2 linked regions of the Drosophila melanogaster genome follow. The protein of the gene in region 1 interacts with the protein of each later gene in a pairwise test. Each region holds a gene or a part of one and is shown in the gene's direction. Other genes may lie near its edges.

Region 1 (7,443 bases):
GATAAACAGCATTTATATTCATGTACCAACAGCAAAAGCAAAAGCAACAACAACAGCCACAGCACATCGCAGACATAAAAAGCGAAACGAAAATCAAATAACATGTGTACTCTGTACATATTGACAAACAAGCGGACGAGCGACATACATGCGAACCAGTACGGGTATGCACGAGTATGTACATCGGTATGTTCATATGTACATCGGTATGTCTCCTGCAACTCATTCAAACTCATTTCTATACACCCCGCCCCAACTAACACTCGCAACCCAGACCTCGCTCACTCTCGCTCTCTGTCTTACTCGCTCTCCCCGATTCTGGTTCTATATCTTTGCCCCTCCATCGGAACCGACTGGTCAGCCGCATAAGTGGCAATTACAATATGGCAACCGGTATTTAAAACTGTTTTTAATGCCAGCATTAGCACGAAAATGATGAGAAGTCTTGCCAAAGATCGATGTCCAGGCGACGAAATTGTCGCATGTCTAGAAAACCGCAAGAGTACATACATCGGCTACTAGATACCCTTCTGATGTGAAAAATGTTTGTCTGTAAAGCAATAAAATGTTAAGTGAGGCAGACTAGAGAAAAACTCTGATATTTTATTTAACTATAAAATATATCTTTGCTGACCTTTGAATTCACGAGTATTATTAGAATAATCTACAATTAATTTTCAAATTTTCTTATCCCCGAAATATTTAAATTCAATTTAATTCATTTGTAGGGTGACAACCGTGATAATAACTAGAAGTTAGCAGAAAAATGCAAACTCATCTGCACTTTAGTATGCATTTGTGAAGCAAGAACTAATGTACGACGTTGACCCCCTTTTCGAGTCTGTCGTCAGCAGTGTCACAAGTTCAGCTTGAGTGCATTTGTGCTGATAAGTTCCTGGAGATAGTCGGTGCTACGGCACCGGGCCATGCATAGATGCACCCCATGTAGTGTAGTCATCATTACTGACACTATCATCGAATGCGGCGTCGCCTTATCAGCCATCATCCACGCACCGTATATGGAGTCGAACTCTCCCTTTCGATTGGGATGCCTTGATTTTCTGTCGTCATTGTTGATCAGTGGAAAATTCTAAAGTCACTTCTAGATGAACAATGGTGTTAATTGAGCGGAGATTGTGCCCTCTGCTTGATCATGGAAAATGATCAATGACTTTTGTAATTTCTTCAAGTGGAGCGGAACGTTTTCACTTGCTATCTTTGCATTTCTCTTATAAAAATTACTATTAAAATAAAACAATATCGGGGTCAATTGAGAACAAAATACTCTTTTTCCAAATGTGTTTGTACAATATCTGAAAAAATCAATGAAAAATATTCTTATAAAATTGTATATTTCGTTGTAAAATAAATAAAACTCTCACTTGCAAATTTATATTAACTTGCTAGCTCCTTCAAATCCTATAAAATAGAATTTGTATATAACCTAGATTCTTTTTTTAAGAGTTGCTTTATGTCACCATTATTTGTATTAATTTTCTGAAACTTGGAACACGGCACAACTTTTCACAGGGTATGCTCTTTTTTTTGACCGCCACTGTGCCATACACTTGTCTTACTTTTCTGGCATCAACTGTTGGCGATTCGCTAAACGCCGCCAGCCGATAATCACAACAAATAAAGTTGTTGCTCTGCTGAGCTCGCTGTGGTTGTTGTGGCTACGTCATCAGGGCCGGCATACAACAACAACACACATGCTGATTGGCATTACATATGTAGTACATACTCACATGTTCATACAGAGAGAGAAACAAGGCAAACTGGTTATAAATATACTAATAATAATATGACAAAATGAAAAGTTAAGCATAATACAAATTCACATTTGTTTTTCATATAATATTAATAAGTAATAATATAAGTAAAGTGTCTTGGTCGCATTTATTAAAGAGTCGTTTTAAGCTATTGTTTTCGGCATTAAAGTACCTAAACATTTTTCTAATTTTATTTATATTTTTCTATTTCTTTGCGGTGCAGCTTTGCATATTTGAACACTCTCCTCGACGTCGTCTATTACATTTCTGGTTTTTTGCTTTCGTGTGCTATTGCTCATTACACACACACACACACACACACACATCACGCACACACACGGTGGAGAATGTAGATAGACGGGTATGTAAACATGTGTACGTTACATACCTACGAATTTGTGAGAACGTCGCCCGTTACCGTTTTAGCTTTCATGGGGTAACATTAACCGTCCCGCAACCCGGCCAACCCCCCGCCACTCCTACAACCCATAACTACACAATGCCGTCGCAGGGACAACAACAACAGCAACATGCGAGCATTGCACACCACATACACGCTCCTCTGCTCTTTCGGCCTGCTAATCGTTTCTGCTCGCCTGCTGGCTGCTTATGTTTATTTGTATATATCGAGCAACACAAACGCACAAAGCTCATATGCAAAACCCGCCCGGCACATACAACTCTACCGTGCCACCCGTATGCCCCATAGACTCATGGGTACACCCCGAGCAACCGTACTCTCTGCAACGGAAAGCATCCGCATATCCATCAGAGCTCGGCTAGCCAACGAGCACGGACTTGCTGTCGAGTTGTATGTTGCTTTACACTTGGAAAAATTAAAATCAGCCACTTTTATTTATAAATAAATTCTAAGCTTTAAATACTTGAATATAATTTGTATTTTTCTAGCTAATTAAACTTCTTTAATATTTAAACTAAATGCTCAAAAATATCACATTTTGACATATGTATGTAAAAATTAAATTAACGTGGTTGGCATTATGTATAATTTATATTTTGTATATTTATAGCTAAAATTTAAATATATTCGCGGTAAATAATCAAGATGTCTGTTTACAATACTTTTTCATTTGCATTCCCTTGTAAACTTTTTTTCTATAAAATAGGTTATATTATTATTACTTGGTTTAAATGTTAGCTTTTTTATTAATTTAATTATTTTCTAAACGAATTCAGTTTTTCCCTAGTGTAATTACATGCGTTCATACAATCTTGGCAGTAAGAGCTTGTTAGCAGACGCAGAAGTATTTACATACGCATGCTTAAACTTAGAACCAGTTTGAAGAAATTCATTTGCTCAGCTGATTTCGTGTAGATGATAGTTACGTATGTTCGAATTATATTGCTTCTTTTAAATTTATAATAACCAGATCTAATCATAATGAAGAATATACAATATATGATATACATGGCTTAAGGATCCATTCATTCGTTCCATCCATAGCTAACATTCAGCGGGTCTAGTATACCCCTTTAATGTACGAGTAAGGGGAATATCCAGCATGTTGCATCAATCTATTCGCATGAGTTACAGATACTTTATTTCATGTTCTTGAGATCGTCTCGAACCCACCTGCAACCAGAGCCAACATGCTCGACCCAAGGCCGATTCTCCACTCTCCAAACGGTCGTCTTGGTACATTTCCAATGCTGTTGATAAGAACGGCGGGCGATGCAAAAAGAAATAATAATAGCAGACCCACAGACTGACTTATCATACTTATTACTTTTAAGACTGCGAACGGCACGATGCACACACAAAAAAAAACTGAATGAATTATTAACTTTAATACTAATTTACCAATAAAGGTAATAAAGGATAGTCATATCAGCCATAACGAAGTGCGACTTAACTGTATATCTATAGTTTGTGAGTTTTCCGTTATATAAACATTGGCTATGATACTGGAAAGTTTCTTAATTATTTCCAATGAATAAGAATTTTCGTTGTATTTCAGTAACCTTTACAGGTCGTAATATAAAGTCTACAACGTTTAGAAAATCACAGATTGTATCTGTATGTGTTGAAGTAATATACACATGAAACTGAAGCCACATTTTATTGTTAAGCTTCTTTGATTAATTTTTGGAATGCCACATTTTTTCCGAGTGAGCAGCAACAGAAGAATCGGGATTGGGGTTCTCTTTAATCTGCGGCTGCTGCGTTTAGTGCACTTGCGACGACGTACGCACAATCTTGAAGAACCCAGACCGAAGCGAATGGCATCAATGCTGCAACAAGTGCTGTATCCCATGCTGGTCCTCGTCCTGATGACGATCCACTTGGTGGAGGTCAGCAGCCTGGCCATCACCAACGGTCATTGCCAGAAGAACATCAGTGTCAAGTATCAGGTGCCCGTGGCCAAGACGCGCATGGCGGGTGCAGGTCCTCCAAATGCCAGCCATCCCATCGACTTGGACAGCTATGTGGTGTACGAGGAACGGGTGCGTTGGGACAACATCCAGGTGTGCTGCCCGGGATATCGAACCATTCTCTTTGGCTTCTGTGAGCCAGTCTGCCAGGAGGCGTGCCCCGCCCACAGCTACTGTGCGGAGCCGGATCGCTGCCATTGCCAGCGGGGCTACGAGCCATCGCACCACCACACCACTGGCCACCAGCTCATCTGTCGACCTGTCTGCCAGGGTGGTTGTCCGGAGCACAGCCATTGTGTGGCCCACAACGAGTGCGAGTGCTGGCCGGGATTCAAGGATGCGAGCAGCTGGTTCAGCCTGAGCCTGCGTTGCGAACGGGTGCAGTGCGGCCATGAGCAGCGATTTGATCCGGGACGACGTGCCTGCGTCCAGATCGAGATGAGCATGGAGGAGCTGATGCAGCGTGTCGCCGAGCGGCTCGCCAAGGGACTTGAGGCAGAAGAGGAGGCGGCCAACGAACCGGAATCATAAGTTTCAGAGTAAATGCATCATTTTCTAACCAATCTGAATCTCCAGTGGTAATCAATCAGCCATGTAACTGTTTGAGATGTTTAATAAAGTGAATTAATTTTTTTTAATAACAAAAGCTAAGGATACTGAAACAAGCAATTGAAGTAATCACAACCGAAATGGTAGTTAATCTAATTACAAATTTATTGTTGCTCTTCAGACAATAAACAATTTTCGTTTGTTCAGTTGGTACAACCAAATAGTATATAAAAAATAAAACTTAGTTACTAATTAAATGATCTCTGGACCTAATCGTTGGCAAGCTCGTGTCTACCTAGGCATAGGGCCATAGTTGTTCTTAGTTTAATATCCAACAGTTAACATCAGCCTAAATCAAATTAAAAGTGGCACTCAATTGGCTTGGAAGTCCGTTAAATTCAAATTCACATTAAAGCTCAAGTTCCGCGGCTATCATCGGTTTCGATCTTGCAGTGAGAAATCTAGGCATATAGTTTCTCGATCTCATCGGCATACATCTTGGACACAACGTTGCGCTTAACCTTTAGGGTGGGTCCAAGTTCGCCGGTGGGAATGGAGAAGTCGTGCGGCAGAATGGTGAACTTCTGAACCTTTTGGGCATTGGAAATGGACTGCTTGTTGGCCCGCTTAATGGCATCCTCGATGGACTTCCACACCTTGGGGCAGGGACCTGCGGCCAGGATATCCGATACGGTCTTGTGCTCCACTCCCAGCGATTTCACCCACACGGAGGACTCGTGGCTAAGCTCGTCCAGCGGCTCACCGGAATCCTTGTCCACTTCGGTCTGGAAATCAAAAAACAATTAAATACTTTCCAACCAATTGGATTCGATTGAAGACTCACCTTTAGGGTGATCAGAACAGTGAGATATTTGCGCTGCTCGCCCACCAAAAAGGCATTGGAAATGGCATCCAGCTCCTTCTTGATCGTGTTCTCGATGTGCACTGGCGGTATGTTCTCGCCGCCGGCGGTAATGATGATCTCCTTGGATCGTCCCGTCAGTGAAACATAACCCTTGTCATCCACAAATCCCAAATCACCGGAATGCAGCCAGCAGTCGTCATCCAGCGACTCCTCGGTCTTCTCCTTGTTGTCGATGTAGCCCATGAAAACGTGACGTCCTCGGATGCACAGCTCTCCGTGACCGTTGGCATCCTTGTTGATGAACTTGGACTCGCAGCCGGGCAAAGTTTTGCCGATTGTGTTCAGACCCACGGAATCGGGAAGGCAGATGGTGTGACAACCGGCCGTTTCTGACATGCCGAAGGCATCGACAATCTTTAGGTCCAGACTGAGGAAGTACTTCTTCGTCTCCGGCGACATGGGAGCTGCCGCACTGGCCAGTGTAAGGACGCGATCGAAGCCCAGGGCCTGCTTCACCTTGGACATGATGAGCGACTTGGCAATCTTGTACCGGAATCCCCCGGAGCTCTTGCTGCGAGAAGTTGTGTTCAAAAAGTTTAATTAGCTTTGTTGCCTGATGAGTTTTTGTTCAAGGTTTGGGGTTAGCTATTGTGGGTATGTGTAATGGAATGTGTGGTGTTTGCGAATTAGTCGCACATCAATAAACAAAGGATTACAAAATGCACCTGCAATAGCATGATGCCAATTAGTCGTTCGAATTCGTCTAACTATTTTCTGTCAGCAATAAATTCTATTAGTTATTAATAAATAGTTTGTAAAATTGCGAAAGCTTTCGTTTTAAATTTCCCTCAATTACTTTTAATTTTCGCTTGATTTTGGACCGCCTGCTGGGTTTCCCAATGCTCCAGTCACTGCAAAAGTATCTGCACTTAAACGAAACTCCCTATTAGTTCTACACTTCTCCCTTGAAGTTCTCTCCATTCACCCGCTTTTACTTAAGAGGACGTGCCCGCATGGCGTGTCCTGGCTCTGCTCCTAGTCGTGGTCCTGTTCCTCGTGCATTTTCTATTTTCTGGTACATACCACCAGCAGCAGGAGCAGCAGCAACAGCAGCGGGAGCTGTTCCACGTGACGTATGAGTAATGTTGTTGTCAGTGATTTTCGCTTTAAGAAGCGCTGTCGGCCCGCTTGGCTTGCATAATTTAGCGGACACCGAAACTCGGCACACATGTACACAGAAAAAAAAAAAATGTTGCCAAGTGAAGTAACAATTTTTACGAGCACACTAAACTAAACCAGCTAAACCAATTTGTTTTCTAGTATTTTTCTTTTCCTTTTAAAAGGCGCTTTTTTCAATATAATGATTAATGGCCCTCAATGGCTTCCTTGGCCAGGAAGCTGGCCGAAAAGCTGGGTGAACCATGTAAAATGCAGGGAATGGGAGTTTGCGAGTGGAATTCTGTCGTTGCAGCCACTTTAACTGTGCATCCTTTTTACATAATTTATGCGCACACAAAGTCGAAGTTGAAGTATTTAAAGAAGAGAGGCCTCATCGGGGGAATACTTACCCTTGACTCACCATGTAGTGCTTCAGCGTGATGCCCTTGGCCCAGCTGGCGAGCATCTTCTTCAGGCTGCCGCTGGAGCTGGCCACGGCGACCATTCGCTCCTGGAACTTCTCGTACACACGCGGCACGCCCATGAATCGCGTGGGTCGCGCATCCTGCAACGACTTCACCAGCGTTCCCTTCAGCGCATCCTTGTCGGCGAACCAAATGCAGCCCGCCACAAAGGCGCAGGTGTAAATGTCCACGGTCTGGGCGGCCACGTGCGAAAGTGGCAGGTAGGAGACGATCGACTCCG
Region 2 (7,694 bases), on another chromosome or scaffold:
AAAAAAAAACCATGATTTGCATAATAGATTCAAAACAAATTGTTGGGCCAAATAAAACAAAATTAAATTTTCATACGATTTAAATGAAAATTTCGTAGCCTGTTAATATTTCAGTATGATTAAATCCAAAGCGGATTATTAAATAAATGTTTCATGTCATTTCTTTCTAGTCTGCCATTGTTATTTTTTTTTTTTTTTGTTGCATATCACTGTTTAAAGGTCTTTGTTGTTAGTTTTGCTATTGATATTTATTGTTACTCAAGATAAATCGTCTAACATTCATTTTGTAAATGTTCTTAACCCACTACAGCTCATTCGGCTCAGTCATCGCCCGATTTTAACCCATACCCGTGGCGCACGTAGTTCCCACACAGTTTGTTTCCTGTCCAGGTCTGTCTTGTTTACAGGTTTTTTTTCGGATCTTTACCATTTTTTGTTTTTTTTTGTTTTTGCAGCTTTCATAGTTTTATTTTTTCTGTACCGCTGTCTGTTGGTCTATTTTGCTGTCTTGGCAGAAAACCGTGTAGTCCGATGCAGTGATTCTGCTGCTGTTATAAAATATGAGCAGGAATTAGGCTACCATAGACACACCCATACACTGACAGCGGCACGCACACACACACACACACACACACACACACGTACGGGATAGACAGGACATATTTGTGCAAAGTTTTCATATATTTTCGTGCCTGAAGTTTGGCCCGCTCCGAGCGGCAGCTGATAAAAAAGCATGTAAAGTGGATATGGTACGGGGGACAGGAGACAGGGGAAACAAGGAACAAGGGACTGGGAACTGGGAACAGGACATATGTCCTGCAGGGATTCGCCTTCTGGCTCCAGGGCTCACCGAAAGGTGTGAGCGAGTGTGTGTTTTGTCAAATGTGCACTCATTTCTGCTGAAAAATTGAAGTACATGCATGACTGCTCCAACCTGTCACAGGCCACCACCCACTCGACCATCCTGAAGAGTTCTCGTCCACACGGAGAGAAAAACATAGCATAAACTATTCCCAAAACACTTTACACGAGTAAGAACCCTAAAAAAAAAATTTCACAAAATTTCATTGATTAATATTCTACACATTTTAAAAAATAATTGCGATATATGATTAGGTTTTCGCTTAATTTAGCTTTGTATAATGATATCTAAAATGATCGTTACTATATATATATATGTATTTGTATTTTGTATATATTTTTCCCATAGTGATCGTAAGACTTTTAGCTTGTATTTTATTTTCGGTTTCGTTGTTACTTTGGTTCTTACTTTTTCTTGTAGATTTCATAAGATTTCCGGTCACTTCACTAATGAGTTTTACAATGCCCCGTAGCACAGAGTCTCGAGCCCTGGAAATTGTTGATACAATGTCCTTGCACAAACAGTCCTTAAATCCAATCCTTCCTTGGACAAACAGTCATGTGTGTGTGTGTGAGTGTGTGCTTAATTTAATTTCCCATTCTTCATCTCGGTCTGGTGGTTGGGCAAGTGTGTGTGAGAAGAAAGAAGGGCATTTCCATTGAGCCGTGTCTCTGTTTGTCTTCTGTTGGGCGAGGTCATCTTTTACGAAGGAAGCTGCCTCCGCTTAAGGAAAAACTTTACAACAGCTAAGTGCTTAATTTATGTTGCTCGACTAATTCATTGAGATGGTCAGAGATAAGTTGAAAAGTCTCCACTCGAAAACCTGACAAAAGGCCGAGGTGAGGCTGCCACTTTTAGCAGCAGGGTAAATAATTCGGTTGTCGTGTGTGTGTGAGCTGCCGGAAAAATGCATGAATGCTTAAAATATATATTTTTAATTCAATTTGCAACGTAACTCGATAAGATATGCAGTAGTAGAGGCAGAAAATGCACTCTTTTCGGGGACTAATGGATTATAAAAAACGATACAATGGTGAAACTTTTTGAGCCAATGCCATTCGCTTTATTTTGTACATTTTACTTAACTTATCGAGAACTCGCCGCTTGTCCCCAGAGTTTTTAATGGGAAAGAAAGCTGGGAAACTTTTACTTCTGCTCCAGCAGCTTTTAAGTGAACGTATAATTATTATAGATGCTTCAAAACCAATCTGAAGTTTATGGGCGAACAAAAGAGTGAAATAATCTTAAGACCCTGGTAATGATTAAACTCCTTAAAGTTTCGGGCCACTTTCTCGTCTGGAAAGTTTGCTCGACTATCGCCTAAATCACAGCGAACTTTTTAGCCGCAAAGTGATTCATTCATAATCTAGAAGAAACTCAACTATTTTGTGCATATCTCCGCCTAAACCAAACTGGCCAAAGTTCATTCATAATCTGAGATTGTTTCGCCAACTATTCGCATATACTTCATATATTTAGATATATATGTATGTATGTATATATATCTTTATATAAATATATAAAAGCGTACATAAACACTTTAGCACACTGGCAGATGAAGAAAGGCGGATTTATCATAAACTTGGCTGCTTTTTAATATTCACATCACACGCTGCGTATGAGTAATTTTTGCCCGGCAAATGGCCAAGTCGTGTTTGTTGGCGAGGGTGTAGCTTTACGAGTGCTAAGTGAATGAAACAAAGTGAATTTAACTCAATCCAATTGAACCATAACGATTGAAAGTTTTCGGGGCTTATGCGGGCTGTAAAGCACTCCCCACACTTTGAATATAAATTAAAATCCAATGCACATCATTTCGCAGCTTCAACAATACCCAACTCAAAAATTGTAAAACAAAAAAAGGAGTCTGAAAAGGGCACCTCCGAAATCCGAAAACAGATGTCGGAATATAAATGCGTGCATAAATATTCGCCATGCGACAACAATTGATTCTGTTTGCTTATGCCGTTTGGAAATATTCTACTGTTTAAATAAATAATTATTTACGATCGCAGTGCAAGGGTTCAAAGGGCACGATTGGGTGGTGAAATCAAGGATATCACGTGATGGAGCTGAATGTGGACAGATTTGAAACCATGTCATATTGCTATGCTTTGATTCAATTGTGAATAAATAAGAGAAAGCTCAATAGCAGATTTTTAAAATAAATAATTAAAATATGTATAGATATACTAAACAAAAATAGGTGCTACATTTGAATTTGTTTTAAAATGAATCGCTGTTCGCTTGGCCCAGTAAACTTCTCTATCACTGGGTGATTGGTATAAAAATCGCTCATAAATCTTAACTGCAACAACCATATTTAATTACAAAACTTTTGCCAACTGTCCAGCGCTTTTCAACGCCCCCCCTACACCACCAGCTGTCCAGGATATGCGGGACACACGGGGATATGGTGGTCCTTTTTGTTTTTTGTTTTCACAACCGCGCTGCAGGCAAGGTGGACTTTCCGAGGGGCGGAAGTGGCAATGCGGAGGTTTTCATGCCGAAATTATTACGCATACCCACACACAGATGCCCCCTTAGGCTCTTTGCCATTTTTATCGACTGCCAAATGGCCAACACTTGTCCACTCATCCGCTCTTGGCCACATGGCCTCTTGGCCACATGGCCACTTGGCCTAACACTTCCGGTCCGGGGCCATAAACCGAAATCTCTTGTTTGCACTGGCCCGGAGTCAAGAAGCAATTGCCAAAAAAAAAAAAAGGAACAGAAAGCAAATGGGGGGCCGGGCCTGCGAAATCAGTTAACAGGCAATTTCAACTATTTTACAGATTGCGTACGGAATGGCCAAATGAACCGGGCCAAATGTCAATGCCATCAGTGTATGTTCGAATGGAGATCACTGTGGGAAAACTCTTTCAAAAAAACACAGTATTAAGTCTAAAAAATGACATATGTAACAATATATATTTGAAAACGAACATTAAGCATGATTGTTTTCCCCTCAAAGAATAAGTATTATATTACAGCAAAAAATAAAACAACTGCGAAGTAAAAAACAAAACATTTTGCTTACATGAACAAAACACGATACCCCAAAACCTACAACCAGACCAATTTTGGTTAATTAGCAGAGTGCCGAGAACCTCGGGGATCATGGACCATGTACCACTCAACAGATCTCAAGTGCTTTCCCTGTTCCACAGCCAGATAAAATCTGCAACTGGGCGATATAAAAAGAGCCCCGAGTGCAGCTAACATCATTCGCTAACCAGCAGAGAAGTTGAAACTGCAGAGGCATTATCGAACGCAACATGAGAGTTTGTGGGTAGCTCCGATCCAAGATCCTCCATAAAAAAAAAAAAAAACAAGGAGTTTCTTCTTATTTTTATTTTTTTTTTTTTTGTGCTTTATCCTAGACCACTTGCTGCTGATTGGATTAGTTTTGGCGACTATCGCCGGCGGTCATGAGGCTTTGGCACATCCGCCTAGAGCCGATACCCCACCGTGTACTCCTCCCCCGGATCCGTGCACAACAACAACATGCCCACCACCACCGCCGTGCACCACAACAACATGTCCACCACCAGAACCACCACCGTGCACCACAACAACATGCCCACCACCAGAACCACCACCGTGCACCACAACAACATGCCCACCACCACCACCTCCGTGCATTACTACAACGTGCCCACCACCACCACCACCTCCACCACCACCACCACCACCACCGTGCACCAGGACACCACCTCCATGCACCAGGACACCACCTCCATGCACCAGGACACCACCTCCATGCACCAGGACACCTCCTCCATGCACCAGGACACCACCCCCCTGCACCAGGACACCTCCATGCACCACCACTCCTCCCTGCACCCCACCGTGCACCACCACCAAGCCCTGCACCACAACCGTTTGCACAACACCCAAGAGCGACAACGCTGGGCCAATTGTCGACGGAAATGAAGAACAGCCCGATATAGACAATCCAGTTGCTATTGCCCAGGTGCTGATCTCGCGCCACGATTGCCGTGGCCAGGAGGACGGAACCTTCCTCGCCGACGTGCGTCACTGTCGCCGCTACTACGTGTGCAACCGTCAGAGGTCGAAGCGCCAGAACTGCCCCAACGGCTACTGGTTCGATCGCGAGCTGAAGGCCTGCCGACTGGCCAGTACCGTCAACAACTGTGACGCCAGGCGCAACTGATGTTGCTGCTGCCAATGTGGCCATGCGCACAAGCAAAGCAAATTGGCTTTAAAGAATTTTTTTTTTTTTCACTATTTCAAAGAACATAGAAGCAAAGCAAGTGTGAATTAATTGTAAACTATGCCAAAGCAATAAAGTAAATATTTCACCGATTATACAATAAATAAGAGTGAGCATTCATATTTGAGTTGAACATTAGTTGCGTGCAAAACAGTGTGACCGAATATTGCCAGCACAGGGTTACTTTGATCAATTTGAACTATGCAGCTGTGTCGGCCCTTTGATTTACTTTCGAAATCAATCAAAGCCTTTATTAATATATAGCTAAATATAGAACACGAACGATTAAGCTGTCTGGCCCGCTCTCCAATTGTCATCAATTTGCCCGGAGGCAAAATAAAGAAAACTTTCAATCAGCCGAACAAAAATTGCGAAAAAGCAAAACAAGCTCATAAATTTGTCAACACTTTTGGAGCGACATCGACTGCGAGTGGAAGTGGTAGTGGATGGTGGTAGTGCCACTCGGTCGGGTGGGGGTCAGAAAAGTATGCCACAGTTTGGTGCACATCCATATCCGTTTTATAGGCGTCAACTTTTCGGTCGAGGACTGGAAGGGCCAACAACAACAGCAATAACAGTGCGACATTTGTGAGTTAGTGTCTGTGTGGCATTACTATGTCAGGCTATTTATTATATCCTGCCACATACCACCGCCGAGCCTGTGCCACCCACATTGACTGTGAACTGTGGCCTGTGGACCATGGTGCTGGTGATGGTGCAGGGCATTTGACAGGGCAAAGAATTTATTTGTCGATAAGCATCCTTGATATTTTACGTTGGCGGTTCCCAAGTGGGCCCGGAAAATCTCGCGGAAATCTCCCCAAGTCACTAAATCAGCCAGGGAAAAATAGTCCTTGATGGTTATTCATGGCTTGTTGTAGCTTTTCCTTCAAATTGTTACTATACGCTGATGTATATCTCGCATTTCCGTAAATGTGAATTGCGCAAATGTCTTCATAAATGTATGGCTTACGAAAATATGCTGCGAACGATTCGAAAGAACTTTAACTTTACTTAAATCCCACATAAAAAAATACTTACTGCAAAAAAAAAAAAACGAGACGCGAGTCTGCCCTTACATTTCATATAATTAGTGTGAACAAATGCGTTATATGTAAAGGCATGCCAGTGTGGCAAGTAGTTAAATATTTCACAAAAACGCTTTGTCTTTCCAGCGTTCGTATGCAATGTTTCACGTGTTTTTACCCTGAAAATGATTTTCTCTTTTTTCTTTTTTGCTAATATCTGCAGGTATTTTTCCCCCACAAACCAACAAAGGCGTAGGAAAATACTAAAAATAATAACTATAAAAGTGCTCAAGTTCATTGTATTCTTAGAAGAGAAAGGTGCATCTTAAAATGAAAAGTAATGAACCCATTTACTGCATAACCATGAAACAAACTATTTCCTTTAGTTATATGGACATGCTCTAGGGAAAATATGTTTAAGGTTCAAGAAATATAAGCAGTGCACTTAAAAACTGCATTTTTTTCGTCGCTGCGTTCGGTGTTTTTTATGTATTACATTCTTGCTCCTTTGTACGTATAATATTATTATTATTTTTGGTTTTTTTCTTTTTTTTTTTTCTTTTGGGTCAGCAACACAAATCAAAACGCAAAGCGCCGCAGCCGAGAACCACGTGGCGTCGCGTCTGACTTTTATCATATTTCACTGGGGCATTCGACGAACGCCGCAAAAGGAAGGAAAATAAGGCTCAAAAAAAAAAAAAAAAAAACAGGCGACGGAAAAAATTCGAGAGACGAAATTGAAACAACATGGCAGGACCTCGGCTAAGGATACTTTTTGCCATTACCCGCAAAACGGGCCGTGGCAATAAAATGCCCAAAACTTTAAATGCAAAAATGGGTTTTTGGTTGCGTTGCGCTCAGCTTTCGCCATTTACGTGCATATATCTATGTCACCCAGTGTATATGTATTAAATATCTCCGCGCTTTTTTATGGCGCAAAGTGGCGCGCGAATTGTTTTTGCCCAGTTGGGCGCATATAACGCATTCGTATTCAGACTCACGCCACCCCCTCACTCACGCACACACACACACACACACGCATTGAAAAAAAAACAAAACAAAACAAAAAACACGCATACGTCCATGGGGACAAACATAGATACCCCGGGTGTCCATCCACAGATACAAAACCGCCACACGGGGCAAGTTCTCACAGATGCATTGGCATTCTGGCCAAGAAAAATCCAGCAAATTTCGCCATTTATTCAGATTCAAAAATCGTCAACTGACAAAAGCTGTAAATTGATATTGAAACCAAGAATTCACAAATAAATGAAAATAACTTGAAAAAGAAGGCAGTAAAAAAATATCCACAAAGGTATAACAAATAGTGATACAAAAGACTTAATTTGAAGCAATGCATGAAGCAAATATTCAAACGATTTTACTTGTAGTTGAAATTTATGAAATCAAATACAACAGTATTTTAAGCTGAAATGTGAATTTGAATAAAAATCAAAGCTGAAAAAAAATGTAAACAAATATAAAATCAAATCTGTTGTGTAAATTGTGTAAGATCTATCTTCTTAAAGATGATTAATAAAGAAAATTCAAAATGAAATGCAGT

The links. The genes of interacting proteins can lie anywhere in the genome.
Region 2: the proteins of NimC3 (region 1) and CG34324 interact in a two-hybrid assay, tested with the Drosophila melanogaster proteins (one large-scale study listed by BioGRID).

Annotation. Positions count from the first base shown.
Region 1 is NT_033779.5:14,016,743-14,024,185, reverse strand, and holds NimC3 (nimrod C3), read left to right. Parts: upstream 1-3,977; 5' UTR 3,978-4,022; coding exon 4,023-4,697; 3' UTR 4,698-4,829; downstream 4,830-7,443. Other genes in the region: bgm (bubblegum), read right to left, coding at 5,177-5,500, 5,560-6,151, 7,149-7,443.
Region 2 is NC_004354.4:13,454,058-13,461,751, reverse strand, and holds CG34324 (uncharacterized protein), read left to right. Parts: upstream 1-4,088; 5' UTR 4,089-4,140; coding exon 4,141-4,150; intron 4,151-4,245; coding exon 4,246-5,039; 3' UTR 5,040-5,218; downstream 5,219-7,694.